Caenorhabditis elegans: one gene and its partners. Each later gene encodes a partner of the first gene's protein in a complex. Each region holds a gene or a part of one and is shown on either strand. Other genes may lie near its edges.

Region 1 (8,404 bases):
ACGAGAGAACTGTCACAGGATCGTACGAAGAATGATTTTAGGAACGGGTCGAACATCGTCTGAGAGTGAAAAAAATTGATTTTTGATATGTAAAAGTTCCATCAAAAGACAAGTACACTGAAACACAACCAAGCAGCACTCCAATTCACTGGTAAAAATATCTGGATTGTCTCATTTGTCAAAACCAAGAATTCTATGTATTTACTTATGAGCAAAAACATCACAGTGCACTTCAATTGAGCAACAATATCGTTCAAAAAGCTAGATATCTCATTTTAAAAGAATTTCAGACAATCCAGATTAAGACAACACAAAAACGGGGAAAGTGACTCTAAGACTGAGACGCTAACCACTGCTATCACAAATTTATCATTTTGTGAAATTAATTCAAAAACTGATAAATGTATAACAGTTTCTTCTAGATTTGTCTCAGTCTTTACATGCTTTTCATGCTATTTTCTCAGTTGCGTTCAGCGCACTTTTGAGATGGCGTAAGTTCCTTCCTCTACCGGATTTCGTTCGCATATTGTTGCAATGTTGGTGAGAACTACGTATTGGGTCTCCCGTGGACCACGTAGAAGTCGGACAAGTGCACGGGCGATCTGGAAATAAGAGTTTTTATTTTTACTTTACTAACTTTTCAGTTGAAATTTCTGAAGCCATATTTTTTTCCGCTTGACTTACCTGAGAGAGTTGAGCTTTCGGCGCAACATGATAAAATAATTGTACGACTGCCATGACAACTGAACAATTTCTTGATTGAAGTAGAGGACGAGCTGAGTTGAGAAGAAGTACAACATCCGTATCGGGTGGTCCTCTATCTGGATCCGCCAATTCATGTCTTGCATATCTAGTCAACATGTTGATCATCACAATTTGACCCCATTCGTCGACATCTGCCAAACCACGACATAATGCTCTGAAGTGTTTATGAAGAAGATCGAGTCGGTGTGGACAGATCTCATCAAATGCGTAAACAGCACTACCGAGTACTAAACTTCTTCGATCAGCGAGAAGAAAATCTATGCAATCGACAAGCTGAGGTTCGAGTTCAGGTTCCAGTGAGTATAGTTTTGGTATGGCATGTGCAGCAACTTTCCTCACGTATGGACTCATATCACGTACTGCATCTTTGATGGCTAAAAGCATGATTGGTGCGACCATCGGAACACGGATTGATGTTAAAACTCGGAGAGCACTTCCACGAATCAGTTGATTCGGATCTTTGAGAGCCCGTTGGAAAGTTGATATCGAGAGAAGTGCAAGATCTTGTTGTTCTTCGGCATATCGTACAAGATAAACAAATACCAACTTTTTCAGCTCCACATTTTTTGCTGCTACGTTCTTCACAACTGCAGCAAATAGTTCACTGACATCTTTTCCTTTCGCTATCAGCTGAAATTTCAAGTTTAGATAATTATAATTTATTGGAAATAAAATCTCACGTTAATTATTCGTTTCATTGCATCAACTTTTAGGTTATCTTTATTACTATCCAGCATGGCTTTTAGGTCAGCGAATCGTCTGAAAGTAGATATATTCGAAAAATGTTACGTACAGTTATACCTAAAATGTAACTGTTGAAATTTTTTAAAAAATAAGTATTTTTATTAGTCTTAAGTTAACAAAAAAACCTACGTCCTATTATCCAAGATGACTCCGCCCTCAGCAATTTCCATTTCAGGGCTGGTCAACCCTTCGACGAACGACGTCATCTGAAAATAAAATAACCTTATTTTTAAAAAAGAGAAAAAAATGTAATAAAATATTTGCAGTGTCGGAATGAACACATAATTCCAAAATAAAGCCAAAGGGATTTTAAAATAAATTTAAAATTTGTTAAAAGGTTTTATTCCACCAGTGAAAAAGAGATTTAATATGAATGAGAGGATCACGTTAAAGACCAGATTTTGAGATAATGTATTTTAAAGATAAAATGTTCAAATAATAGCAGGCAAGATGACAGTTATTGCCCGAAGCAACCAAATCCAAGAAGAAGATTTCGACGAGTGAAATGGAGTCCGATTACTGCAGTTTCTTTTGTTGCATATGATCCTATATTGAAACCGTCCAGATTCACTCTGAAATTTTGTAAAAATTGATTGAAAAAAGCTTGTAGGAGTTTTCGAGAAACTATATATTATGAGGACTTAGAAAAGACATTCTGAAGTGGAAACGCGCTCCACTGCCGAATAAATACGCCCCGCCCCCAAGCCATAGGTCTCATTAGGTATTTGGCGACAAAACCGTAAATTCGAAAGTTTTTAGTATTGCCGATTTCTCCGATCTTCAAGCATTTGTCCTGTTTTTAAGTGGTTTAAAAAAATGTTATGGCTAATTTGATGAATAAAATTTATACTTTCTTCTTTCTCGTAAGGGGATTTTTCTGCGTTTTCATAATATTTGTACCTGTATATTTCTCCAAGTATTTTGTTCCTAATTAAAACTTACTTTGGCTCAATGTAGGAATCATTTTGTCCAGCGGCGAGAACTGTTCCAATAAGAGTATCAAGTGAATATAATTGAATACTTGAATTTCCATGGGATACCGCAAATACACCACCATCACGAGAGAATGTAATTGAACCCTGAAATGAACTAGTAATATGATATTATCATTTTTATATTTCACTACCTTCGTTCCAGCTTGTTCCGTAATTTCAGCTGCAACTAATCTCTGGTATGCCAAATCCCAAATCATCAGATTTCCAATAGCATCTAACGAGACGATATACCGACCACATGGGGAGAACTTGACAGCGATAATCGAAGCTTTATGACCACTAAAAATGCGAACTCGAGTACCAGAACAAACATCCCATACTCGAACATATCTATCATCTGATCCTCCAGCAATATAATTACAATTTGGATGATAATCAATACATCCAACGTCTCCATATGGATCAGCGAATATTCTAAGTGGATGCATTCGATCTGTCGACCACATTGCAGCTGTTTTATCGGCACTTGCTGTAGCGAAATAGTATCCACGACTACAGAATTGAGCCTGTAATAGTTTTCAGATTAGATAATGTAGAACGTTGCGCTGAAACTTTATGAGACAGTTTTTTTATTAGTTAAATTCGATAATTTCGGATAATGATCTATTATTTGAAATAAGATTACCAACGACACTAAATATCTCAGTTAAAATGCTAGTTAAAATTATATAAATACAAACCTGCCAAACTACTGCTGGTGTTCTATAAATAACAGCATTCCTCTGAGTCTCCATACTCCAAAGTCGAACTGTTCGATCTCCGGCAGATGATATAAGAAGTCGTCGATCCGGTGAAAAATTGACAGAAAACACGGGACCACCGTGGCCTGTATACCTCACACTTGTCGTTGATCCTTGTAAATCAAACATTTGTGATTGCACGTTATCCGCAGTTTCAATATCGATTTTATCAAGAAATTCCATATCACGAAGCTTCTTCATCTTATTCATCGGATCCATTGCATTCATAACAATTGAAGAATCAGATAAACCCATTGCAATAAGACTTGAATCATCCGTAAAATCACATGAAGCCACTCCAATTGGTGCATTTACTGTTGTGTACATACAAATGGAAACGGGTGATTCAGCTGAAATGATGGCCATTTTTCCGACGTCTCGAAGCCAATTTCGTCGTTCCTCTCGAAGATGTTCGCTGATTGGTGGAAGAGGAATTCGGTCAGCTTGTGGGCAATGCTGGAAATAACAAGATATATACAAAGAACTATGAAAATTACAGAACAAAGGGAGAGGGACTCAAAAAACACACTAAAAAATTTTAATCGTCACAGCTACACCCTCAACCATTTAAATTTTGACTGTATTTTTCAGTGTATTTTTGCATTATTTTCAGGCCATTAGAGTTGCTCCAAAAGATACTTTTGAATATTTTTGAAGACTTCAAAAGAGTTTAGGTGTAGCCAAACATTATTTTTGGAAATTTATTCAGAAAAAAATCAACTGTTTTAAAATTAGATTTTTCAACATAACATGCCGATTAAAATGTTACAGCGATATGTTATCAGCAAAGGTGTTCATTTTTCGATTTTTCACAAAAAACAATAACGAAAATATTACGTTTTTCGGTTTTTGGGAAATCGAAAAATCTAATGATTTTGTTTTTGATTTTTTGAAAATTAGCTTAAAATATTGACAATTTTTTTCTCTTTTTTAGAAAACAATTATATATGTTCTTATGTTTTTTTTCATTAACATAAACAAAATTTGATAAACATTTTTAAAATTTCAGGGTAAGATGAAAATCTTTCCTTGTCAGTACAAAAAAATTCAAAAAAATTGTTTAAAAATCTTACCGTCTGCATTTTCTTTCCCATATCTTTCCAATCTTTTCCTTTTGTCTTCCGTTTTTCAATATTCTGCATCAATTCGTCTTTTAACACCGAAAACATCATTTTATGTCTTTTATCACTTTTCGAAGTTACTCCAAGAATTCCACCCATTTGGGTTTCTATTGTCGTTCGATTTGTGGATACTTCGTCAGCATCTTTAACGGATATTATTATATTTTTTTTGTATATAAAAATGAATACTTACTTTCAATACAAATATGTTTTGCAATTATATTCTTAACACCAATCACTCTCGTTTGAATTGATTCAAGATGTTTCAGTGTTGGCCTCGAAAGTCGAACAAGAAATTTATTTTCTCGTAAAATGTGAACATGTTCATTGGCTCGTAACGTCATTGCATCTTCGATTAGTGATAATTGATATACAAATTCCGAGAAACATTCAGGAATGAAAATCTTGAATCGATTGAAGAATATACGGGCAGTTGCGGCATGCTTTTCAATTAAAGCTATATAGCTGTGTGCAAATATAGGAAATAAAAGTTGACTGAATTCCGCTTGAACAACATCTGTACAATCGTTTGCGTGCTGGACAAATGTGTCGAATTCAACGGATATCGCTTCTCTGAAACTTTTGGTTTTTAAGACATTGGGCTTTGAAAAATTCAAATTTTGTCTATTTTGCTATTAAAAAAAATTATTTCTAAGATGAAGTGGCGAAATTTGAGTAGATTCATTAGACTTAAAATGATACCGAAAACCGAATGTATTATTAATACGTCTTGTAAATTTCCCAAATTTATTTAAATACCGGTTTTGAGTTTAGGGGAAAAGTCTATATTCGGCAGAAAATTACAAAATTGATTTTTTCGGTAAAAGTGATCTTTTCAGTCGATGGATGCACAACATTTGGAAAAAATTTTATTTTGAAATTACTGTGTGCACATCTACTGAAAAAGCATCTTAATCAACTGGTTAGCTTTTTTTTGAGAAATTTAAAACAATTTTGTGGGGTCATTTTGAGTCTAGCAATGCTCCAACCTTTTAAAATATTAATTTCTAGATACATTTTTAAATTGAAAAAAAAAACTTACTCTGGAGGTAATCCATTAGATCCTTCAACTCTAAGTACTGGTCCAGCTTCTCGAGTCAAAAGCTCTTCAGTTTCTGTTAAACCATTTCGTCGTAAGTATCCAATAATCATTTGAAGTGATTCATTGTTCATTGGCCGAGAAAGCAAATTATCCTCCATTGCTGAATTGTTGTGCGTGTTTTGAAACATTTGTGGAGAACTTATCGAATGACTACTCGAATTCTCGCTATCCATCAAGTTCATTCTCTGGAAAATATATTATTATGAGAAAATACTGTCAAAATATCAAATTTGATATATTTTTTTGAATTTAAACCGACATTTGTTAGAAAAATAATTGAGTTCAAAATGGTGTTTTTTTTTTCAAATATGTGGCCAATTGCAGAATTTATAAGTAGAATAAAAGAGCGAAGAAGAATTAATTCAAACGTCACTACGAACTTGTTGCCGACATGGTGCAGCAGAGCGAGATTGCAACTAACCTACGTAGGCATGCCTACCTTCGGAATTTCTGTCAGACCTTTTTGTAGGAGTTAAAAGTTAATTATCTATGAAAAAAAAACGGTGTTTGGGTCCTGTACTCCAAAAGAACTCTACTCAGTTTCTTTAAATGAAGGTACCCAATCTTAAATAATTATGATATCTCCCTTGATATCACTTTGGCAACTAACTAAGAACACTAAATATACAGTAAAATGTTATCGCTTGTAGTTTGTAGTGTAAATTTAACATTTTCATTCCAACTGATTTCAATACAACGATTAATAAATATTCGAATGTATTCAATTGTGCAATCAACAATATTTTGTTTGCTATCTTATCATTTCTATGTATCTGATAACGGAGTCGATTGCTACAGTGATAACTTTCTAGAATGATGAAAAAACGTAAAGTAAAACTAGGGAAATAGTTAATTAGAAATACTTACCCATTTTGAATTCAGCCGTTTTAATTTTTAATATCTAATGCAACGAAAATACGAATTGTTGTCCTAGAATGACGATTTCACACACACACAAACGTTGTCGAATGCATATAAAATTCAGAGGGACGCCGAGAAGCAGTTGAAGCCCAAGCGAGACGCAGAGGCGAACACGCTCCGTGTAAGGATCGATAGACTGGAGAGACAGATGCACACAGAAAATGAATGGGGGAGTGGAAGACAGAGAAGAAGAAGACGAGCATTGCTTGTGTTTCTACACATTATGGACACTACTACAACCTCGTCTTTAAAGAGTGCTGAGAAAAAGGACACTGATGCGACGCCAAGAGCCCATAGTCCTGAAATTGATGTTGAAGTGATCAAATCTGATTGCTCTACGCCGGAGAAACAGAATGGAGCAGTTGGAAATGAGCAGCAGATGAATAATTCAACTTCTACAAGGAGAACTGATGTAGGTTTTTTTTTAATAGAAAATGTTTTGTCGATACTGAAAAATTGAAGCTTTGCGTCTAGAAACCTAGAAAGCTAGATTCTTGAATTTCAGAGCAACAAAAACCTGTCACCACCTCCTCAACGTCTTCGTACATCTAGTAGTACATCTGACGGAACTGAAAATCTAATTTCCTCTCTATCATCTTGGGATTGGGTTACCATAGATGGTCTGAAGCTTCCCGCAGTGACACGTAATAAAGAACGTTATGTGGCTGTCCATATGGTCCAGCTGAAACTACTGAGCAAGTTCCCATCGGATATTCCACGTGACATCACACGAAAATTCACGATGGGATCTCACAAAATGACAGTAACAGAAGCATGGACATTCAATACAATTAACGCTGTCATTAGAAAGTTTGATCTTGGTTGTCAGTTATTTACGGCAAATGATGAACTTGTCAAACTGAATGATGTTCAAATGTTCTATTGGAATGTAAAGCTTTTCAATTTGAAACGTGTCAATGGGCAATATGAGACGGCTATTTCGTCAGCAGAGAATAATGTTCAACTACTGGCAACAGCGATGCAACTGAAGAAACAAGTGGACAGTGATATTCAGGTAATTTTTAAATGAAGAGTAGTTTTTTTCTTGAAATTTGCACTTCAAATCAGCAAAAGACCGAGTTCAGGTCTAATTGGGGCTATCTCTCATAGATTTTCGGCGTTTTTATCATATATTTTTCTTTTTGCTGAAAAACACTTCCCAAATAAAAAAATGTTCGAAATGAAATCGATAGATTTTTGACAATTGATGAATTTACACATTCTTTCGCTGTTTTCCGTGTGGAGAAGTGTTTCACAATTTGACAAACATTAATCTAAGAGATCATATATAACATGAAATGTTAAAAATCTATGAGAGAAGGCTGAAATTTTGAGTGCGAATTTCAAAAAGTGGTAACTACATATTCCTTTAAAATAAAATCACCACTGGCACGACTCCGCCTAAATTAAATTAGTAAGAATGCATGAAAATATCCAAAAAGCGAAGCTTGCTATTTTTTGAACTTTTTGGACGTTTTTAGGTGATTCAAATCACGTACTTCTACGTTGTTTATAAATTTGTCAATTTCTCTCTAAAAACTATTTAGTGGACTCAAAATAGATAAATAAAAGTCACAAAAAATTACAGGCGGTATGTGCAGAATTGAAACGACTCGAAAAGAGCTACTGTGAGTAAGTTTAAAATTTAAAATCACTGTTTTCATAAAAACAAAAAAATTAAAGGTAGCATAACGCAGGAAGAGACAACACTGCAATTGACAACACATCATGCACAAAACTTAATATCTTCCAAATCCTGATAGTTTATTCTTATTTATTGTTTTATTTTTTCTTTTCTTGCAGTTGTTTTAATATAAAAAATTTCGATGAACCGAGTTAAATACACAATCAAATGTACAATATTACAGGGGAAAATAAAGGAGCGATTAATAAAGAATATACATCTAAATGAAATGAATCTGAGGAATTGGAGCACTTTGAAATGGAGCACGAGAGTATGAAAAAAGAACTGAAAATGTTTTGAACCTGATGAGAATGAATGAAGAGATGGGGGTG
Region 2 (10,434 bases), 7.5 Mb from region 1:
ACGTAGATCAAGCCGAAATAAGACACTTTGACACACAAAAATAGCTTACTATTTTGTCCATTTTTCTTCTTTTCGGTATGAAAAACAAAATTTGTTGGAATTTTTAAACTGTTTGTTAATATTCTAAAAATTATAAAAAAACAATTTTTCGACAGTCTTTTTGAAAAATATCTAAAAATTTTTTAATATTTTAACGGATTTATTGTTTAAATTTTGAGTCAAAAATTACGGTATCCCCGGGGTCTCGCCACGAAAGTTAAATGCGTAAAAGGTGTGCGCCTTTGAAGAGAGTACTGTACTTTCAAACTTTCGTTGCCACGGTTTTTATTAAAATATGTTTTTTATCGTATTATTCGAGTTTATTCGAAAAAAAACTTTTTGTTTGAAATTACAGTACTCAAAAAAATTTTAAAAATTTGTCGTGTCGAGACCCCGGGTATTGTATTTTTGGCGCCAAAACTTCAAAAAAACAAAATTCGGTGTTTGCGTACTTTCGAGGATACCGTACCCCTCGAAATTTCAAATTCGAGCAAGAAACTTCTAGTTTTCGGTTTTCCGACTGAAATTTTGCGAGGAATTCGAACTTTGAATTGAAACTATGAAATTTTGCTTTCATAAAAGAGTTTTCAGCTCGAAATTAGAAATTTTTCCAGCGCGCCATCCACCTTCGCCAACGTAGAAATCTGGAAATCGCCGGTGCCGACGGTGTCTATCAGCGAATAATCGATGAGCTTCCACTTCCACCGACGCTCAAAGACTATGTTCGATTGGTGCAACACGAGGTTGTGCTCAAGTAGAGAAAAAAATACCGAAATTTCAGTGTTTTTGAGAAATTTTGAAAAAAAAATTGCCTAATTTTCTGAATTGTAACTCATTTTTCTCGATTTTTCCTGTATTTTTAATATCTAATTCTGGTTTTTTTGCACTTTGCCAATTTTTTGTTGTTGAATTTTTTCTGAAAAATCTGAAATTTTTGGCTGAAAAGCTGAAAAAGAAGCTTTTTTTTATGTCTAGCATTTCGTTTAAAAATGAGAAATAATTATTATTTGACTGGAAAAAAGTGATTGTTTTAATTTGTGGAAAAATAAAATTAAATTTAAAAAAAGAAAACGAGAAAAGCAGAATTTTCGCTCCTTTTTCCATGAGATTTCTTTAGTTCAGATAGTTGTATCGACTGCCGGACCACCGTATGACATCTTTTCACGGATGAATGTTCTGGAAAAAAAATGAGTTTTTTTAGGAGAAAATTGGATAACTTTTCAAAATTTTTTTAAATCGTATAAAAATTGATTTTTATTGGAATTTTTTAAAATTAAAATATTAAAAACTACCATTCGTTTGAAAGTTTTTTGAAAAATTTTTAAATCAGTTTTTTCCAATAAAAATCAATGTTTAATACGGTGTTTTTTAAAAAAATTTTTTAAACAAAAAAAATCGCTACCCTGTGAATCGGCTATCCTGATTGACTAAAAGATGTAGATCACGAGTTGTTACACGTACTGTTCGTGGACGAGGTGCTGTCGTTGCGGCGCCCGTGTTTTCCCATCTGAAATTTAAATTTTCAATGTAAAAAAGCGGTATTTTGGTAGAAACTAGCTCGTTTTATCAACAAAAACAAATTGTAAAAAATGAATTTTTTGAAATTGGTTTTCGAAATTTATTTTAAATTGAACCGAAATTAGTTTATCAACTGGAAATTGCAAAAAAATGCACATTTAATAATTTTCCAACAATTTTCAGTAAAAATTTCAAAAAATTTCTTCAAAAAGTGAATTTAGTGGAAGCAATTTAAAAAAAAAGAAAATTATTGGAAAATGTTGTTTTTTTCAACAAAAAAGTGTATTTGTCTAATTTTTTAGAAATTATTTTTTCCCTAATTTTGGAAAAAAATGAATTAATTTTTAATCAAGTTTTAAAAAAACCTTTTTTTTCGAAAAGAGAATTTCTAAATTAAAAAAAAACTAATTTTCAACAAATGACAGTTTCATTACTGGAAGGAGCTGCAAATTTTTTATTTTCATATAAATTTTTATTTCTATATAAATTTTTTCGAAATGTGAAATAAATTTCAAATTTCTCCAAAGAAATTTAGTTTATTCCTGGAAATTATTGGAAAATGTGGTTTTTTTTTCAAAGTCACTAGAAATTTAAATTTTTTTTTAAAATACGTTTTTTTGCCGAAAAGATGTTCATTTGTTTTTCGTTCATTTTTTTCTGTGATTATAAGTCACTGAAATTCAAAAATTATAGTTCTAAAAAATTCTAAAAATTATTTAAAAATCGATTTTTTTTTTCAAAAATTTTTCTCAAAACGTAAAAAATTAATTTTTTGTAAGTGTTCAGCTTTTCTCTAACAATAAATCCAAATTTCGAAAATTTCTTTTTTTTTCTATTTCTTTCGAATTTTTAGTATTTTTAAAGCAAATTTTGTTCAAATTGATTGTATCTTGATTTTAGGCTTAAAATACCGAATAGTTCAACGAAATTTCTGGAAAAATTAATTTTTTGTTGCTTTTTTTCCAGATTTTAAAATTTTTTTCAATTTTTTCAGTGATTTTAGTAATTTTTTTAAACTTCTACAAAAAAATATATATAAAAACCAATTAATGTCGAAAATATTCTTATTTTTTAAACATTTTTCCTTTCAGCTTCTATTTTCACTTTTTCGTAATTTTTTTTGCGAATTTCGCACTAAAAACGAATTTATTCTTGAAAGTTTTATTACTGGAAAGTACTGTTTTTTTTTTTAAATTAAGAACCACAAGAAATTGATTTTATCTAAATTTTAGGGTTAAAATCTTGATCGTTTTAACGAAATTTCTGGAAAAAAACTTTTTTTTCGCTATTTTTCTGAATTTTCTATTTTTTTCATTTTTTTTCAGTGATTTTAAATAGTAATTTTTTAATTGAAAATTTTTATTCTAAAAATTTTTTTTTGTGAAATACAAATTCGAAAAAAACGAAATTTTTTTCCATTTTTTAGAAATTAGTTATTGATTTATTTTATTTTTTCATCGATTTTGCAGCATTGTAAAACAATTTTTTCTGAATAATTTTTTTTTGCTTATTTCTAAATCCAAATCTCAGAAACAAAGGTGTCGGTTTTTCAGTTTTTTAATCGAAAAACGAAACTTTCATTTTTCGAATTTTTGAAAACCGAAAAATCGAAAAATGACACCCTTGGTCAGGAAATTGTTTTTTTTAAATCTATTTTTTAAAAATAATTTTTCTGCAAATTTCACGCTAAAAACGAACTTATTCTTGACAGTTTTATTACTGGAAAGTGCTGCAATTGCAGCCGCATTCGCATCTCGATTCCTTTTCGCTTCAGCATCTTGTCGTTGCATTTCTTTCGCTTTTTCAATCGTCTCTTTTCCACTATTCTTATTCTTGCTCATTCGAATTAGCGACTCTTTTTCTCGACTTTCCCTTAATTCTTCCTCTTGACGATCCAAATCTTCAAGGAATCGAAGTTGCCGTTTGACGTCATCAATTGCCACGTAGTTCTCCGGAATTCTGGAATCTTTTGTAGTGTTTAGGATGGAAAATTCGGATTTTTCACAAAAAATTGTTAGGAAAAAAGCCATTTTTTTATGCTTGCTTCGTGTCGATTTACGGCAGCTCTCCATTTTTTAAAAAAATTTATTCGTGCTTTTTTAAGTTTTTTTTTTTTTTTTTTGCGCGTTTCTTTTATTTTGTCGCTTTTTTGTCAGTTTTTTTTCTGAAATTTTTAAAATATTTTTTTTATATCTCAAAACTCCCGGAATTTTATATTTTTACGTCAGATCTCGACGAACACAGGAGTTTTGACCTAAAAAATTTTCAAATTGACACAAAACAAAATTTCAGGAAAAAAAATGACAAAAAATCGACGAAGATCAAGGAAACTCGTTGAAAAACTGAAAAAAAAAGCTTAAAAGAAATTTAAAAATGAAGAGCTCCCGTAAATCGACACGAAGCAAGTGCGCCCCAATGAGAATTTATCTGGGCGCGCATTTGAAAAATCTCATGGTGTGCATGCACAAAGCGATTTCAAGCTGAAATATAAAGGGAAATTTTTTTTTTGAATTTTTTCGAATAGATATTCGGAATCAGGGGAAAATTGGAGATATTTTTGAAAATATTTCTCAGATTTTTATATTTTTTTGAAAAAAAATTACCGCGTTTCAGCAATGTTTTTTGTTTGGATTTTAAAACAAAATCTAGATGTTTTTTTAATAAATAGTTCGGAACCTTTGAAATTTAAAAATCTTTTTTTTTAATGTAAAATTGTTTTTAAGACGATTTTTCTTCAATAATTTCCTTATTTTTGCTTAATTTTTTTTTCGCTGCCGTATTTTGAAGCAAAATCAATTCTCCTCAATACCTCAAACTCTCCACCCGATGTTCTGCAACTCCGGCCATCAGTGTAATAAGTTCCCTTAAATGCGACTCAACAGCATCTGAAATCGCGACAAGCGCCTCCTCTTCCACCGAACACGATGACATCATTCGTTTCGTGATCCTATTCAGCACCTCATCCGGCTTCAGAATCGACGATTTCAGCGATCCTTCAGGATATTGCCTCGTGGCCGTGGCCGCCGCGGTAGGCTGTAAATTCTCTTCCACCTCCATTTCTACAGGGGGAGCCGGGTGCTGCTGTTGAATCTGCTGTGGTGGGGGAGGAGGATGCATCTGGACCATCTGATGTCCCATCGGCCCTCGTACGGGGCCTTGTAGGCCCATTGGGCTTGGGCCGCCGGGGCCCATAGGCCTGATCATTGGCCGGGCGCCTACAGATACCATATGGGGACCCCCTTGAACCATTTGTGGGGGTATTTGATTCGGATTCGGAATTTGACGCATTTCTAGTGGTGGCTGCTGCTGGGATTGTTGTTGAGGTGGAGGTGGCTGAGGGGGTCCTGGGGTTCTTCCATTGTTGAAAACGTAGCCAGGCGGTGGATTTACGCCTTCAACTGATGCAGTGCCTGGAAATTTGAAAATTAGGGAAAATAGTCCAAAATTGAGGAAAAAAAAAGATTTTTAATCTAGAAAATAGGTAAAAATCCTCATAAATTGCCTGGAAATGCGCCTCAAAATCGAATTTTTGAGCTGAATGTTGAGAAAATCTATAAACATTTTAAAAACTTTAAATTGCAATTTTTCAGCTGAAAATAGCCCTGAATTATGAAAATTGCGTGAAAATTGCGAGAAAATTTGCGGAAATAGCTCTAAATAAAGGGAAGTTTTTAAATAATTGTTTTGCTCAATTTCGTGGAACTCGGATAAATTACCAAAATATACTCCGGAAAAATTGAAAAAGTGCGATAAACTTGATAATTTTTGCTTTCAAAAATAGAATTTTAAAGAAATTTACTGGAAATAGACAAAAAATGTGGAAATTTTAAATTTTAAGCTAAAAAAATTGGTGAAAATCTTAATAAATTGCCTGGAAATGCGCTTGAAAATCGAATTTTTGAGCTGAAATTTGAGAAAATCTATAAAAATTTTAAAAACTTTAAATTACAATTTTTCAGCTGAAAATAGCCCTAAATTATGAAAATGGGTGAAAATCCTTATAAATTGGCTGAAAATCAGGAATTTGCTCAAAATTGTGAGAAAAATTGCGGAAAATCCATATATTACTGACAGCTGAAAATATTTTTAAATAAAGGGAAATTTTTAATTTTTTTTGCTCAATTTTGTGGAACTCGGATATATTATGACAATATACTCCGGAAAATGGAATTTCAAAGCCGAAAAATTGAAAAAATCACCAAAAACAGCTTGAAATTGTTAGAAACTTGATAATTTTCGCTATCAAAAATGGAATTTTAAAGAAATTGACTAGAAATAGCCAAAAAATTTGGAAATTTTGAATTTTTTTCATGGAATTTCTACACAATTTCTTGAAAAATGTAATTCAACGGATTTTTTGCAATTTTTTATGTTAAATTCAAGTTTTTCGCTGCTTTTCAACTCAAATTTTCCTGTTTTTCGATGATTTTTTTTTTGTCGATTTTAATTTTTTTGCACATAAAACCGAACCATTTCGAACAGCATTCCTCAATGCCGGAAGAGTATTCTGAAGGAATGGTAAAAGATGCGGTTGAGCCTGAGATTTGAGCACTTGTTGCAGATTTCGTGTAAACTCTTCAGCCGTCGTTTCCAGATAAATTACGCCCTGAAATATCCGAATTTGTCCGGTTTTTATCGCGTTTTTCGCTCAATTCCTCACTCGAATTAGCTCTTTGACACGGGCGGCCTTGTCCGGCATTTCTGGATCATCGTTATTCGACAGATTAATTAAAGTTTTCAGAAAGCGGACGCATTTTGTCACGTTTTTGTCATCTGAAGCAGCGGCGGCCGCCGCTGCAGAGTTTTGTGGAGTCCCGGGCGGCCCTTGTGGAGCCATTGGCGATGGTGACTGAAAATGCTGCATCTGCTGTTGTATAGGTTGACGAGGCGGCTGCATTTGATGGTTTTGAGCCTCTGAAAATTGGGATTCAAATTTTTTTTCTAACTTTTTTAAATTTTTAAATATTTACGGGGTGCTTCCACGGGTTCCGGAGCCATTTGATGAGCATCTTGGTAGTCGACTTCCTGCTTTATTTGCGGAGGGGCCTGGAATCAAAGGAATAAATTATTGTTAGTTCTTTTTGTTGTTGTAGAAATTTTGAAATAAAAAAAAACAATTACCGGCTCTGGTGTGCTGACTCCTGGCGTTGATCGCTCGCCGATCGCCTTTCCCTGAACGAGTCGAAATCTGGGAAGACTCATGTGTGCTGAAAATGATATTTCTCTCTCAGAAATGTGACAAGGTTTTGAGTTTTCGTGTCGATAATTTCGACGCCATAAAAGAAGAGTTCATACAAAATCGATAATTCCCAGGGTTCAACAGTGTGTTTCCTTGCTATTCCTCCCCACTTTCTTTTGTTTTATTCACATTTTCACATTAAATAGCTAAATTTCCGCAAAATTAGCGGAAAACCCCCTCCGCAACACAGTTTCATTTGAAAATTTACCGGAAAATAGCGGAAAATGGTCGCCTTTTATACTGCCAAGAGTGACCGTACTTTCGGTCGTGGCGAGACCCATGCCGCATGTTTGGAGGGGTGCGTTGCGGCTCGCGTCGCGGTCGCCCGCATTTTCAACTGCGGGAATTTGCGAGATTTGAACGCGATTCTAGTCTAGCTTGCGGTGATTTTTCAATTTTTTAATGATTTTTCAGCGTAAGAACTTTTGAGTTTAGTGGAAATATTGATTTTTGTGATATCACACTCTGAAATACCCAAATTTTCAGTCAATGTATTGTTACATTTCGAAATTTTTATTCAATCTAGTAACAAGCCTACACTTTATCATCGCTAAATAGGATTCTCCATTGTATAGCAGTTCATTCGAATTCCATTTCAAAATTATTGTAAAATGTAGGGGTTTTCTTCTCTAGAATATCCTCCAAAGTTCAACGTGATGTATTGCTGAAATATTTCTTCATCCTAACATGTTCGTTAGAGTCTTCTGTGCGAGGCTTTTCTTTTGATAATGTTTTTTTGATCTGGAAGGTTCCATATTTCGTTCTTTTCCTACTTTTGTCATCTATTTGACCTTCCTTTCATTCAACCTTCCTTTGATAGTTGTATTCTCGTGATTCTCATTCCATTCTTGCGTTCACATGACTGACCCTTTTTATTTATAATTTGTTTTCAGAATGGGTATTAAAGGCGACAAAAAAGCTACCAGCGATCAAGCGCGACTTGCACGACTCACACTGGAAGGAAATTCCGGAAATGAGGAGGACATACAGTTTATGATCAAGACGGTAAGTCTCCAAGCTGGAAATGACGCTTTCCTGAAAATAGTGATCTTTGCATCACGCGAACGCTCGCCACACACCGACATGATGACGCACGTGACTTTGTTGTTTTGAACTTCTCTAGTGTCCGCTTTCAGTGTCAATAGGAATTTCGAATCGATAAGACGGGGCCAGATGGCAAATAAAAGGACAAAAGCAGGTGTCCGCGCTTGAGATGGTGCAGCGAGAGTAAGAGTACCCAGATGTCCTACTCATTTGGGCTAATTAAAGTGTTCGCGCATTCCCAAGAGGGGTTTTTTCACTGCTCATGTCTTTTTCATTTTCAGATTATCGAAACCACCGGATGTACACAAGCACAAGCTGAGATAGCGCTATTGGATACTGACAACAATCTTTACGGCGCAATCGATCACATTCTGGATGCTGGAGATAAACTTGACTCGTGGACTGAACAGAAAGGAGCCAAAAAGGAAAAGAAGAAGCCGGAAGAGGGCAGTTATAACAACAGAGGATTTGTAGCAAGAGGCAGAGGTTCGTGCTTGATTGAAATAGATCAAATATTGATATGTTTTTTTCAGGTGGAGGCACCGGTTTCGTCGATCGAGGAGGCCGCGGGCGATCCAATGGAGCTCCAAGAGAAAGCCGAGATAATAATCGGGATAACCGTGATAATAAGGAAGGAGCAGCACCACGCTCGACTCGAGGAGGATTTGAAAAACCGTATGTTGGACGAGGTGGAAGAGGTGGCGCCAGAGGTGGATATTCTCGAGCTGTTGCTCCATCATCAGCACTTGAGCCAGATGCGTTCACTGCTGATCTTGATGAGGTAAGAATTTTTTGAAGAAGGAAAATGACGAAACGTGTTTTTTTTTCAGAATCAGACTAAAGTGGATACCACAGTCACCGAAGTTCAACCACCAGTAGAGGAATCCGTCACCGCCACTGTTCCCACATCTTCTGCGCCGGCACCGATCTCATTTGCTGCAGTAGCAGCAGCTGCCCATCGCAAAGAAGCACTCCGAAAGCACCAGGCACAGAATCCTCAACCAGCAGCTCCGCCAAGGAGGAGTCTCTCCCCACAACCTCCACTTCCGTCAGTTGCACCAGTTAAAGAAGAGCCAGCAGCAGCGCCAGTATTTTTCGAGCCAGAAACTTCGCATCAGCCGGAGAAAGAAGATGGTTTCTTCCAAAAGTAAGTTGTTCTGTCCCTGTATTTAGATTATTAAAAATTTAATTTTCAGTGAATCATCAGTTTTGGCTGAGGAGCAGACGCCTAATGTGTCGACTCATCACGATGAAAATGTACAAAGCACCCCAGAACCAAATCAAGCATGGACCACTCAACTGAAGACGGATCTTGGAATAGGATTGAGTGAAGCACCAGGACTAGGATTATCTCCAATTCCAAGTGCAGCACCAGTCCAGATTATTCCTGATCCTGGAGTGGAATTTGTTGGCACAACTGCACCAACGAACATTCATGACTACTCATTTGGATTTGTTGAGGCTGCTCCAAGCCCACAGCTTCCTTCTACTGAATCCTCCGCTGCCTCGATCTCAAATGCCAGTGAAAATATATTTAACTCTTCTCGTATTATGCCGAAACAAGTTGAGGTGAGTTAAATTTGTTGCAAAGACGATTTATTCTAATTCTCGATTATTTTTCAGCCAGAAAGGACGTCAATTCCTAACGGCGATTACAACTTAAAATCGACTTCACCTCCATTGTCATATGGTCAATCTAACAGAGGATTGTCCTATGACACTTCGTCCGCTTCATATCAACCAACGGACAGGATGGCGCCGAACAAGTTCAACAATTCTGGACCACTTCCAACACAGCAATCTGCTCAGCAGCACCAGCCACAGCAGCAGCAGCAACAAGCCCCACAACAGCCAGTGCAGCAGCAGCAACAAACTCCACCAGCTCAATCACAACCGACTGGACATCCACAACAGCATCCACATATGATGTTCACTCAACAACTCCCATATGCACCATACATGAACAACTACATGAACATGTACAATCCAATGCCAGGAGTTCGAGATGAGCAATATACTGCTGCTCTTATGCAATACGGAATGGGAGTTGATCTTACAAGCTTGCTTCCAACTGCTCCTCTGTCACAGGCTGCTTCTGCGCAACAAGTGCAATCTGGTCAACAACGAGAGACTCATGGACTTATGGACTTCAATAAGTTCGGATCTCAAAGCTCTCGGGATCAGCAGCCACAGCAGGCGTCGAATGTTGGACCACCACCAGGGTTCCAGGCGACGAACTACATGCAGCAGCCAAACTTGTCGTCGTTGTTCATGCAGCAGTACTCACCTGCTCCACACCAGTTTACTCCATTCATGAACATGATGCCCAATGTTGGAAGCAGCGCTGGAGGTCGTCAACTCTACGGACAGGATGACGAGCGCAAGAGTTACGACAAGATGTCTGGATCGAAGCCGGCAGCTCAGCAGAATCAACATTCTCAATACCAACACAATGGTGGAAATCTTGGAAAATATGGCATGAATAAGCCGTACAACTGGAGTAACTAACCGGTTTTCGAAAGTTCTCAGTCAGCGACTTTGCTCCCCCTCCCTCTCCCCTCTAAATAATAAAATGATCTGTTTTATTTTCACAT
Region 3 (5,298 bases), on another chromosome or scaffold:
AAAATAGTGGAAAACCGTGCCGCGGGGTCGCAAAATTACGCTCCGCCTCTTTTTCTGTGCGATGCGCTCCTTTTTTTGCAAAATTCGCAATAAATTACTTGAAGGTTTTAATAGCGGAGTTTGCTTCTTCCCGGCGTGATGCACAAGATTCGGAAGGGCGAGAGCATTTAGCAGACCGTCTTTTTTCGCTCGAAGTTCTTTTTTCAGCTGGGAAATCGATTCTTTATCGGCTTGCTTCCATTTCTGATAGGTTTCAAACCATTCGTCATATTCGTTTTTCACTTTTTCCACGTCTACTGTGAGATTTCTGCATTCCAACGCAATTTTCAGCTGATCAGTTTGCTCGAAGACATTCCTCAAGTCGACTAGTGGATCTACAACATGAACATCTGCTCCGCCGACGAAACGGGCGGCCAGATGGGACATTCTGACTAGTTGGCGGTAGGGAATCATATCTCTGGGACTTAAACATTTTTGCTTTTAATTATTGGATTTTTTAAGATAATTTTTAGATAATCAAATGATAGTTTTCTAACTTTCAGGCCTCAGAAAAAAAGTTTTGCGCCGATCAATTTATGTACAGAATGAGAATAAGTTGGTGTGTGAAGGAAGGAGTTAGGGCAAAATTGAAAAAGAGTATCGGGGTAGAAACATGGAACCGCTGGGGAAAAGTGTGGAACAGGGGATTGAAATAATATCCGAACTAAAAAGCCGTGTGTGTGTGGAAAATTAAACGTGAAAAATTAACAGAAAAAAAACAAACGAAAAAGAAACTAGGCAAATTAAATTTACAGCGAGTGAATGTACACATATACTACTTCACAAAAAAGTTATAACAAGGAGTTTAACGGTAAAATTTTTTAAAATTAAATTATTTAAACAATTGAAACGGCGACACTGGGACATCATCATGGGAATTCACTTTTTCGCAACAAAAGTGTCCTCTTCGTCCTCGTCGAAAACCTCTTGGCCTCCGTAGTGGTCGTAGTCTTCATCGTCGCCGAAATCCTCATCCATTTCATCGTCGTATCCCGAGTATTTGCGAGAAGAGCATCCCGAGATTCCGCGAGAGCGTTGCTTCTTGAGAGCCTTGCTTTGGCCGGCAGTCTTTTGCTTCTTTACAATCTCGTCTTGCGCTGAAAATTTGAGATTTTTGATAAAAAAAACTGTTAGTGTTTTGGAGGACATTTTCCCTATCGCGCGGCTTTTCGCAAGCCACCGCACGCTTTTTTTTTCGAACGAAAAAGCGAGCTGACTTTTTTTTAAAATTATCATTCTTTATCGCATATTTTGGTCGTTTATCCCAGAGTATTGCGTTAATTAAAGTATTTTTTAAGCCGATAGAAGCTCATTTTGGTCATTTTTAAATTTAAATGCACATTAATCAACGAAATAATGTGAGATAAACTATCAGAATGTGCAAACAAGGATGATAAATCGAACAAAGTCAATTTCCGAGCTTTGCAACTCGGAAAAGTTGTCAAAATTGGCCGAAATTTTGAACTTTTCATCACGAATTTCTTTCATTTGAGCTTGAGCTCCAGCACCCACACTTGGAACGGGGGACGGTTGCGATCGTGCCGGCGCCTCCATTGCTTCCGATGACTAGATTTGGTGGAGTTGTGGAGACCTGATCCTTCGCGGCCGCAGCCGCCGCCTTCTTCATCGAAGTCAGCGAGCTCGAGTCGATCGCAAAGCCGATTGGATCTTTCTTGGCCATTTCCTTCTCCGCCTGAACTTCTGGATCACTGTCATAGTCATCGTCGCGTGTGAATGGCATTGGCATTGTTGGGGGTGTTCTAGAGAAAAATGGGTTAAATAGAACTGAAAATTAAAACAAAGGAGAAGCATAAAATGGCAAAAAAGAGCCACTTGGATAATTGGTATATAGGAAAACGGCATAAATTCATAAAACAGGAAAATAAATGTAAAGCATTATAAAACCCATTGAGGAGTATCATGTTGGTATATTATAAATTAGGTGTGATATGGTGGACGAGTGTTCTGGTGTCCGTATTCTTTGAGAATTTCATCGAGAAGTTCCTCTGTGAGCGTGTATTTTGTGTCTTTCGTTCCTTTTTTCGTCTGTCCGAGACCTTTCATACGAGCCTGAAATTGTTCTTGTAAAAAAACTTGGATTTTCTTTTGCAAATTCTAAACCATACACTTGTCATCGCGTCAAGAATAATATCCGAAACATGTTTTTGAGCCGCCAGCGAGATCATTCTAGTCACTCGCGGATCCGATCCATCAACACCGGCAGACTTCAAGAAGTGCAATGTTACAGAATCGGGAATCGTCGGCGGATAGTCGGCGAGCTGATTGATGAACTCGTGTGTGTCGTCTTGCGATGGATTTTTCTGAACATTTTCCAGCGTTTTCTGCACAAATTGTTGCTGATTTCCGGTGAGAGGCTTGTGCAACGACGATCTGAAATTATTTGTTAATAATTTTTGTCTTGTCATAATGTCATTAACCCTGAACAAAAACAAACCTTAAATTTTGAACAGATGGCTCAAGAGTGGAGTAAACTTGTGGAGCTGCTGCTGGCCGCTGAAAATACTTTAAATCGGTTAATTTTAATCAATTAAATCGATAAAAAACCTGTGGAAGTGCGGGTGGAGGCATCAGGACGCTTTCTGTCGACGAAGAAGGCTCATATTGCTCTGGATCATTCATTTTTGCTGAAATTCGGGAAATTTTTGAATTTTTTTTAGGTTGAAAGATAATTTAAAGCGAGTATTTCGTTGAAAAGTTATTACTAATTTGTTTAAACATATCTTTACAATAAAAATTCGTATTTAAAAGCTCAAAAAGTTCCCCCAAAAACCAATGGCAGCGGCACGAGGGTTTAAACTTTAAAAAAGTCTCGTGGTGCGGCGCTCCGCCCACTTGCAATGTGCGGCGCGCGTTTTCGTAATGCGTGCGCACACAATTTTGGTGAACGCTTTCGTGGCCCTTTTCTGGTAATAAGAGGGCTAAATCAAACAGAATTGGGCGAACGCACGTTGAAAATTTTGATTAAAATTAATTCTTCAATTAATTTAGTTTTAAAAATTAAAGTTTAAAAAGTTTTTACTATTTAATTCCCGGTAATCATCGTTAATTCAAATGTTTCTAGACAACTTTAGCGGTTCAAAAATCAGAACATGAATATTTCATCAAATTCGTAAAGTAGCTGTAATACGCTCCCAAATTAATATTTCAGGGAAATTTTAGAAAAAAAGTCTGTATTATAGGGGCAGAGAGAAACTGTCCAAAAACGCTCCGCCCCCGAACCCGCGGGTCTCGTTAGGTATTCGGCGGCAAAACCGTAAATTCAAATTTTTTTGATTAGTTGCGTAAATTTCGCTAATTTTCAAGCATTTGCCGTTATTTTCAATGAATTATAATGTAAAAATTGATTTTAAAAAAAGCAAATGGTCAATTTCACGTGAATTTTCAAACATCGTTAATGTTTTGGCAGAAAATTCTTTAAAAACAACGAAAAATGCTTCAAAATTGCCAAAATCCCGAAAATAGTTGAAAAAGTTTGAAAAAACCGCTAAATACCTAACGAGACCCATGGTTCAGGGGCGGGGCGTTTTAAATTGGCCGTGGAGCGCGTTATCTCTTGTGATTTTCAGCGACCCAAAACTTTAGGTCTATACCACTCTGGCAGCGTATATCTCGGTTCATTTGGAAAGAATCAAAAAATTATTAACTAGAAAATTTTAGATTTTTAATTGATTAGAATTTTGATTTTTAGTGTACTTTCAATCAGGGGTGGGCGGCAAATTGTCGGTTTGCCGATTTGCCGGAAATGTTTGGTTCCGGCAATTTGCCAGCTTGCCGATTTGCCGGAAATTTTCATTTTTTGGCAAAGCGACCATTTGCCGTTTGCCGGATACCCATTTGGCGGAAGTGTTGAGAGGGATCTATTTTTAAATCGGCAAACCGGAAATTTTTGCAGATTTGCCGAATTTTCAAGAAAAACCACAATTTGCCGAAAATTTTCGGCAATTGCCGTTTTTCAGCAAATTCGGAAAATCGGCAATTTGCCGATTTGCCGGACATTTTTGAATCCGGCAATTTGCCGATTTGCGGGACATTTTCAAATCCGGGAATTTGCCGATTTGCCGGACATTTTCGATTCCGGGCATTTGCCGATTTGCCGGTCATTTTCAAATAAGACAATTTGCCGATTTGCCGGGCATTTTCAAATACGGCAATTTGCCGATTTGCCGGACATTTTCGAATCCGGCAATTTGCCGATTTGCCGGAAAAATCTTTTGCCGCCCATCCCTGCTTTCAATGCAAATTATCAATTTTCGAAAAAAAAATTCAAAATAAAAGTGCAGTGACGTCAAACAATTCTCTTGCAACTATAATTATATTTCGAGAATTGGTGCAAAAGCTGTCATTTTCATGATTCTGCGATCTAGCAGGACTATAAGTATACTTGCGTCATGCCTCAGCTCTGCAAATTGGTGTCAGGCTGTCCCATTATACTTTGATCTACAAAAAATGCGGGAACATTTCTCCCAAAAAAAAATTTGACGACAGCACGTTCTTAATCGTGCGAAATCAGTTGAGATCTCCGTGTCTTGACTCCCGCATTTTTTGTAGATCTACATAGATCAAACAGAAATGAGACAATCTGTCACAACGTGCAATTAGGGAAAAAAAGGAACTCTGATGTCTAACACAAAATCACTTTATTCAAAATTAAAACTGGAAAATTAGTATCATGAAGGATGAGATTATCATATCTGCAAGAGTATCTGAGTCGAGATGGACGTGTGGGAATTAATCATTGGGATAAACCGGGTCAAGTCTTTCTGCAGGAATTTCTAATTTTCAGCATCCATCTGTGCATCCGTATCGATCTGTAAACAAATCACATTGTTCCAGTCTTTCACATTCTATAAACGCACTAGTTTATCCCACATTCCCTGATAGTCATTTTGAGGAAGACTACGGTACATGCGACGTGGAAGAAGACGAGATCCACCGATCCGAGACCTGGAATATTGTGGTGAACGGACGTTGGGCAACGGCTTAAACCATGCGGCGCTGCGATCGATGCGTGATTGGGCTGATGTGACATCTGAAAAGTGGAGTTTTGAATTGGGACATTGTTTGGCGTTTAGAGCTTTGATTTCATTTTAGAGAGCCAACTTTGGCTAAGTACACCCAGTTCCCGATATTATTATTATTACATAGACGTCTTAACATGAGACTTTCCCCCATATCTTACTCCCTTGGGTCTCGCCACGCAGACTATGCATTACTGTATCTGGTGTTGATTTTTGGGCC
Region 4 (6,727 bases), on another chromosome or scaffold:
AATAAATTTTAAATTTTTTTCAAAAAAAAAAAAAAAAAAAAAAAAAGTATAACCTTTTTATCCACATTTATATATTTTTTAACTTACAATTGGTTCAATTTCAGTGCGAATAGTTTCCTCTGGATCAATGAGAAGCTGTTGCCAAACTAGGTAGAACTCAAGTATAACACGATATCCAATTGGAGGTATATCAGAAAGATCTTTCAATTTTTCCACGTGTTCATGTGCCAAGTGTAGTGCCCATAAGGACTTTGACACAGCATTTGGTATATTCAGACCACATGATAATTTTTGGCGAGCGAGTTCTTCTGATATGAACGAGGATGTGTTATAATCTGAAAATAGCTTGAAAATTTTCTGTTCTTTTGAAACTTGAGAAAATCCAAATTCAAAAATAATGAGTGGTTTTTTTCAGTCCTTCTGATTTTTTGGTGCCAGGTTTCTTCAGGATGCCTACAATTTTTGACGATTTGCTACAGTTACGACTTTTAGTTGATTTTTTGTGAAAAATTCAAAAATAGATTTATTTTGATCCTCATCCCTAGAGGAATCCTATCTCATTATTGCAAAACCGCCTAACCTAAAATCAATGCGTCGTGGAAGGGGTAGAGAATCGAACCAAACCGTCGATTCCCACTAGACGAAGCCCTCATCCACCCAACCATCGCCGCCGACTCGTTTCGCTGTCGTTGGCTCCACATAGCACGAGAAGTTCTCCAGTTTCAACACACTTTTCGCATGCATGTGCTTGCTTTTTCCCCCGTTTTTTTTTCGTTTCGTCTTTGCTTTTTTCTCTTCGTTTTCCTTATTCTCCAGAGCACATGCACACACGAAGTAACACAACAGAGACAGAGGCTCCGGGCGCCGAGCGCCGAGCCCATACACCGACCGGCGCCTGGAGAGCACAGAGAAGCCAGCCTGTTGCACTTCTTTTTTGCAGCTTCTGGCTCACAGAGCACATCGAACCTTATACTATTATTTCTACTGTACGATTTTTGAATTAAAAAAAATAAGTTTTGTAATTGAATTTTTTTTCCAAACTTCTATCTCGTTTTAATATTTTTAGGGTGTTAAAATATTCATTCTTACCAGAATATCCAACATGATTACTGGCAAGAACATGAGTCACAAGTGATTCCACGAATTCCCAAATGTTGTCCTGATACTCAGAAGTGATCTGAAAAAATTGAATTCATTCGGATACTATGAATCTTTATATTTTCAAAAAACTGTTTGCGCAAAAGTGAGCGATCTTATAACCATGTGTTTTTTTTTTGTATTTTGACGAAAAATTAGTTTTTGGAAAAAAATCCAAAAAAAACTATTCTACATTTTTCGCGGATATTCTTTAGCAACATGTGATGTTTATGGTTCTAGTGTTGTTTTTTTTAATTTGAAACTTTGAGACCCGAAGAACTCGGGGGATGTCCAATTGGGGGGATTAGCAACTCGGGGGATTGGCCCCGCCCACAGAACCGTGGCTTGCAATACGCCCATTTCTGCAACTGCCGCACGGTTTTAAAACTGTATTTTTCTCAATAGAGCGAGAATTAACAAGAAAAATAATTTTAAAACCGTGCGGCAGTTGCAAAAATGGGCGTATTGCAAGCCACGGTTCTGTGGGCGGGGCCAATCCCCCGAGTTGGTAATCCCCCCAGTTGGACATCCCTCGAGTTCTTCGGGTCTCGAAACTTTTGCTCAAGTTTTTGAGTTGTTACGGATTCAAAATAAATTAAAATCGACTTTCTTTCTGGTTTTCTTGTGTTTTCACTAATTTCAATTTCTCTTTCGGAGTTTTTTCACTAAACCTTTAAAATTTCAGTTTGTTTGTTTTTTTTAAATTTTCCTAGTCTTTTGGCAAAAAAATTTTGGAGAAATTCTACTAAATTCGAAACTTAATTACTTTTTTAAAAACAGAATTGACAGTGAGATCGAAATCCGAGTTTTGTCGGGTTAAGAAATATTCTTTTATATCTGAAAATGTAGAAACCAATGAAATACCTTTTCAATATCTTTTTCATTTACTAATCCAGCAATTGATGCAATAATATCAGCTGGAATCATCTAAAACGATAAATTTCAATCTGAAATGTTATAAATTTGAAATATGAATAAATATATTACAGAAATTATCAGAAATTCAATTTCGTAGATTGAACAACAACTATTTTAATACTTTATTCTCAATAATACGGGAGAAATTTGAAAAACAAGAGGAAAGTTGAAAAGAACATTGATAATGTCACTTCTTCAAAAAAAAATAACATCAACAAAATTATACAAGGTACGGGGAGAAATGGTGAGCAGTAATTAATCGAAAGCTTATTGAATTCGAAACGATTTTATCGGATTGGTAGACTGAAGAAAGTGGTTCTAAAGTGCATAGATGTCTAAAATGAAGCTACTTTACCTGTATTATACGAGATCCGGGTTTAGGGATAAGGGAAGGCTTAAAATGAAACAAAAATTTGAAAATAAAGAAGAATGAAAACAATTTTAATAAAAGAAAGTTATTTTTTGAATCCCTTCAAGATTGGATAAATCTGCCCGAATGCTTCGTCAATGTCCCTCTTTGTTTTTGCTCCAGTGATAACAACCTGAAAATTTAACATAGAAAAGGTTATTTCATAACTTAAACTCACTTTTCCAGACACAAAAATAAGGAGCACAACTCTTGGTTTGACCATACGATAAATTAATCCAGGGAACAATTCTGGTTCGTAAGTACTGAACTGAGAGTGAGTAATGCACAATCCTTCAAGTTGAATCGGAAAACGAACATCACAAGAACCAACCATGTTTTGAACCTACAAAAAAATTATTCAAATGATTTTGTGACCTTTTTCCAGAAACACTTACCATAAATTCGGTAAATTTCGCCTGAAATCCCAACTTTTGAACAATTCTCGCATATTTTCGTGCTGCCAATCGACTTGCTTCTTCTGACTTCGCACCAGTGCACACCATTTTTCCACTCGAAAAAATTAAAGCAGTTGTTCTTGGTTCACGAATTCTCATAATGACTGCTGCGAAACGTTTTGGATTGTATTCGGCGTTTCTCGCGTGCAATGCAATCTTCTTCAAATCCAATTGAACTCCCAAATTGACTGTAGAGACAATGTTCTGAAGAGCTGGCATCGGAATATCCAATTGACTTGCTGGAGTTGCTGGAACCATTGTGGCAGCGATGTTACTTGCCGGAGCCTGATGTGTCAGAGCATCTCGATCATATACAGAATATGCAAGTGGTGTCATTGGAACTGTCAAATTCTGATATGCAACTGATGGAGGATTGATGTCCAAATTGTGATGCATAACTGATCCAGGATTACGATCAGGTCCGACTGAAGCTGGATTTATGTTCAAGTTGAGATTGGAGTTGGCGAGATGTGAATGCATTTGCATTGAAGAACCTTGAAGGCCTGAAATAATATAAATCTTTAATTTTGACAAACGGCTTTAAGACTGAAAAAAGGTTATAAAGTTGAAAGACTGGTCACGGCTAAAATAAACGTGCACAGAGAGTTCATCAGATTTTTTCATAAATTTTTTAAACTGTACAATATTAAAATTTCGAAAAAAAAACGTATTAATTTCGCTTAAATCTGAAATTTCGCTAACTTTTCCTTGTCGCATCAGTTAGGATACAGTTTTTTTTAATTAGTGTATTTTATTGAACAATTTATAATTTTATAATTTAGTTGTTTATCTCGCTTCACATCGTCGATTCAGTCCCATTTATGATCGACATGCCAATTATGTTCATTTTTAGACGCCTAACGACATAAAAATTTGCCGAAATTAACGAAAAACTAACAAAATATTCTATAAAGGGTGATAATTCAAAAAATCTGTAATTCAGCTGCTGTGATAGAAGTCTCGGGATTCAGCAAAATTCTGATTTCTTGTTAATTTACTTTTTGTCATGCCATAAAAAATAGTGAAAATTTTATGAGCAGTCTCTTTAAAAAAAATTAGTTAATTTTGGGCTAGTTTTATCCTTTTCAAGCAAAAACCCTGAAATGAGTTTTCCACAAATAACTTACTGTGCATTTGTTGTGATTGCATTGGTTGAATTGATTGTGGATTGAGAACACTTCCAGGTCCAAGAATCGAGTTTGGTCCCATTACAGAGTTGGGACCGTGTCCCGTGAGAATTGATGAGGGTCCTTGACCTCCAAGTACGGAATTCGGTCCACCATGTGCAGGGGTGTCACCGCCAAGCATTGATACAGCTGGGCTGTTAAGGTTCATTGTGAACTGTAAAAATATTTTTAATCAAAAAAAGAAAAATGGATAAGAAATTGGAACAAGATATTTAATTTAAATATGATTTCAGTGAATAAAACACTGGAATAATTATTTTAAAAGAAAAACAACAGTACTATTTTGAAAATTTAAAATATAAAAACGAGAAAACGGAAAAACAACAACAAAAGTGGAACAACAATAACTGTAACAAAAAATCTGATTAAATTTTCCATAAAGTTGGAACATCGATGATTGGAACTTGTCTATCAAGAATTCCTTTCGGCGCTTCAGAGTTCACACCGACTGCTCTTGTGACTTTTTCTTCGTGTTTTGGAGCGAATTTCCCACCAAATCCTTTTCTACGAGCTTTCTTCGGTTCCGGCTTTCCTGTTCCCTCTTCGTCTTCATCCCCGTCTTGCAGTTTTCGATATTTTTCAGCTTCTCCATCCTCTCCGCCAAATGATTTTGCCATGTTTACAGAGAATAACTCGTCGGTGCATCGGAATCGAACGTAAGACTCAATTTTTTGAATCGATTTATCAACGAAATGAGCTCGTTTTCTGACACTTTGATTCCAGTGACATTGAAGAAGTTTCATCTCCCAAAGACTTGATTCCAATGCGCGAGTTTTGTGTAAATCTGTCTCATCATTGTCGAAAGGATCATCGTAAAGAGTCTGAGGAACCTCACGATGAACCAATTCAGAACAGTTTGGATGTCTAATCACAAGATTTCTAATTAATCCAAGAATTGGTTCCTGAGCATCAATTGGAGCAAGAAGAAGGCATCGGGAGAGTCGTTTGAGGAACGAAGCAGTGATGTATGTTGGGAGATGGCTGAAAAGGTATGATTCAGAATAAATTTTCTAGAATATTGCAACTCACGTAGACGACAGGAAACTATCCAGAAGTGTCAGAATGGATTCTTTCTGACTCATATAGAGAAGAGATGGGTTCGTCAATGAATATACTTTGTCGTAGAATTTCGGATATTCACTGAAATAAAGATTTATATGAATCTATTTCAAATAAAATCTCTTACAAGTTATGTTCTGAAATAAGACGAAAAATAGCACCAAGCGAAAGAATTCCATGATAGTCAGTTTTGTCGAACATTTTGAAAAAGAAATCAGCAGATTTGAATGGTGCTTTCAATTTCGAAATGACGTTCTGAGTGATATATGGAATAAGTTTCAGTGTCAACTTGTCACTAATTTTTCCATTCATAACAGCCATCCAAACGTTGTCATAGTCAGTTGAGATCCATGTCAGCTTTCGTTTTTTCATACTTTTATCGTTGAATGGAGTTCTGACACAAAACTGGCGAAATAATGGTTTCGTCACTCGATCAGTTGGGTGCGGGACGAATGAAAGAAAATTGAACAGGTTGAACCAGGCGGTGGTGCGAGTTTCTTTTAGGTGCTGAAAATGTGTGATTCGTATAAACAAATACAGATATTTTAACTCACCGTTATAGACTTCACAAGCTCCGGGGAGATTAAGTGGAAAATATCATATCTTCCAAAAATTTTAGCGATTCCTCTGAGAACTGGACGCTGAATTCGCTTCGTGCCAAACAAGTATTGAATGAAACCGGTTACAGTAAACTTTAGTGATTTTGTAGAAACAATATCTCCAGTTTTTGCGTCTTTTTCGAAAAACTTTATCGTTTTAAAGTATTTTATGATGTCATCCGGATATTCGCATTCTTGCAAAAATTTAGTGAATTCTGCAACAGACTTGCTTTTGGGTTCTTCCCTCTCCAACTCATAATTGACATCGACATTGTCAGGCGCTTCATCTTCTGAGCCATCATCCGAAAAATCAGCCTGAAAAGGTTTTGGTAAGATTTACATGAGATTTTGCTATTTCTTACATTCTGCTCCGCATCATCATGGAAAAATTGGTCCAAATCGTCGTCCATTGCCCTGAAATTATTTGATTAGCGACGATTGCTATAAAAATCAGAAAATTTAGACATTTTTGAGAAAAAAAAACGAAAAAGTATGAATCCTTGTGAAATGTCGTCAGGTGTCATGTTTGCGTACAAAGTAATGCTCGGTGTTCACGTACAATCGAATACCGTAGTTTATTGTTTTCGCTTCGGCGCGCCAAAAATAATGCAACACTTTTCCCAATTTTTCTTCTAGAATCGATACGAATCTGATGATAATTATCGAAATCTTTTCGTTATTTCTGTTTAAATTATAAATAATCATATTCAATCTCTGGTAATGAGTATATTGAATTCATGAATTCATATTGCAAGAAACCAGAACAAATTTCACCGAAAAGAGGGTTTATTTTCGTAATTAGTTTCGCTCGGAAAATCGATATTTTCTTTCAGTGTCGCTACATTCTGCTGGAGTATACTTTCTGAAGTCTCTTCTTTCGATTTCTTCCCTCTCTCTCTCGTTAACTAGACTTATTGACAAACAATTTTCAGAATGGCTGAGCTCCAATTCCCGGGAGTTTAT

Evidence for each region.
Region 2: taf-5 (region 1) and taf-4 share a complex: the UniProt entries of both Caenorhabditis elegans proteins name them as parts of the TFIID basal transcription factor complex.
Region 3: taf-5 (region 1) and taf-10 share a complex: the UniProt entries of both Caenorhabditis elegans proteins name them as parts of the TFIID basal transcription factor complex.
Region 4: taf-5 (region 1) and tbp-1 share a complex: the UniProt entries of both Caenorhabditis elegans proteins name them as parts of the TFIID basal transcription factor complex.

The regions. Positions count from the first base shown.
Region 1 is NC_003279.8:7,847,061-7,855,464, reverse strand, and holds taf-5 (Transcription initiation factor TFIID subunit 5), read right to left. Parts: upstream 5,653-8,404; 5' UTR 5,641-5,652; coding exon 5,408-5,640; intron 4,939-5,407; coding exon 4,559-4,938; intron 4,509-4,558; coding exon 4,318-4,508; intron 3,701-4,317; coding exon 3,185-3,700; intron 3,011-3,184; coding exon 2,636-3,010; intron 2,589-2,635; coding exon 2,452-2,588; intron 2,082-2,451; coding exon 1,967-2,081; 3' UTR 1,829-1,966; downstream 1-1,828. Other genes in the region: apb-3 (AP-3 complex subunit beta), read right to left, coding at 1-59, 480-602, 685-1,395, 1,446-1,524, 1,639-1,715; F30F8.5 (MATH domain-containing protein), read left to right, coding at 6,612-6,800, 6,894-7,403, 7,977-8,016, 8,072-8,148. UniProt on the Caenorhabditis elegans protein: The TFIID basal transcription factor complex plays a major role in the initiation of RNA polymerase II (Pol II)-dependent transcription.
Region 2 is NC_003279.8:379,158-389,591, reverse strand, and holds taf-4 (Transcription initiation factor TFIID subunit 4), read right to left. Parts: upstream 6,767-10,434; 5' UTR 6,760-6,766; coding exon 6,679-6,759; intron 6,604-6,678; coding exon 6,528-6,603; intron 6,472-6,527; coding exon 6,218-6,471; intron 6,164-6,217; coding exon 6,028-6,163; intron 4,968-6,027; coding exon 4,367-4,967; intron 3,517-4,366; coding exon 3,256-3,516; intron 1,547-3,255; coding exon 1,442-1,546; intron 1,216-1,441; coding exon 1,158-1,215; 3' UTR 1,028-1,157; downstream 1-1,027. Other genes in the region: R119.5 (Protein-L-isoaspartate O-methyltransferase domain-containing protein 1), read left to right, coding at 654-797; Prion-like (glutamine/asparagine-rich) domain bearing protein pqn-59, read left to right, coding at 7,691-7,801, 8,122-8,326, 8,374-8,621, 8,671-8,987, 9,037-9,409, 9,464-10,348. UniProt on the Caenorhabditis elegans protein: The TFIID basal transcription factor complex plays a major role in the initiation of RNA polymerase II (Pol II)-dependent transcription.
Region 3 is NC_003283.11:4,684,495-4,689,792, reverse strand, and holds taf-10 (Transcription initiation factor TFIID subunit 10), read right to left. Parts: upstream 2,691-5,298; 5' UTR 2,680-2,690; coding exon 2,605-2,679; intron 2,563-2,604; coding exon 2,495-2,562; intron 2,431-2,494; coding exon 2,166-2,430; intron 2,110-2,165; coding exon 1,978-2,109; 3' UTR 1,894-1,977; downstream 1-1,893. Other genes in the region: K03B4.1 (Seryl-tRNA synthetase), read right to left, coding at 99-453; K03B4.2 (HUN domain-containing protein), read right to left, coding at 919-1,136, 1,552-1,786; nssp-51 (Neuropeptide-Like Protein), read right to left, coding at 4,833-4,868, 4,917-5,089. UniProt on the Caenorhabditis elegans protein: The TFIID basal transcription factor complex plays a major role in the initiation of RNA polymerase II (Pol II)-dependent transcription.
Region 4 is NC_003281.10:7,381,566-7,388,292, reverse strand, and holds tbp-1 (TATA-box-binding protein), read right to left. Parts: upstream 4,261-6,727; 5' UTR 4,255-4,260; coding exon 4,047-4,254; intron 3,423-4,046; coding exon 2,860-3,422; intron 2,808-2,859; coding exon 2,643-2,807; intron 2,598-2,642; coding exon 2,511-2,597; 3' UTR 2,169-2,510; downstream 1-2,168. Other genes in the region: Tetratricopeptide repeat-containing protein trd-1, read right to left, coding at 88-335, 1,090-1,177, 2,002-2,064; T20B12.3 (nucleolar complex associated 4), read right to left, coding at 4,472-5,087, 5,136-5,246, 5,293-5,672, 5,720-6,079, 6,127-6,174; hmg-4 (FACT complex subunit SSRP1-A), read left to right, coding at 6,698-6,727. UniProt on the Caenorhabditis elegans protein: The TFIID basal transcription factor complex plays a major role in the initiation of RNA polymerase II (Pol II)-dependent transcription.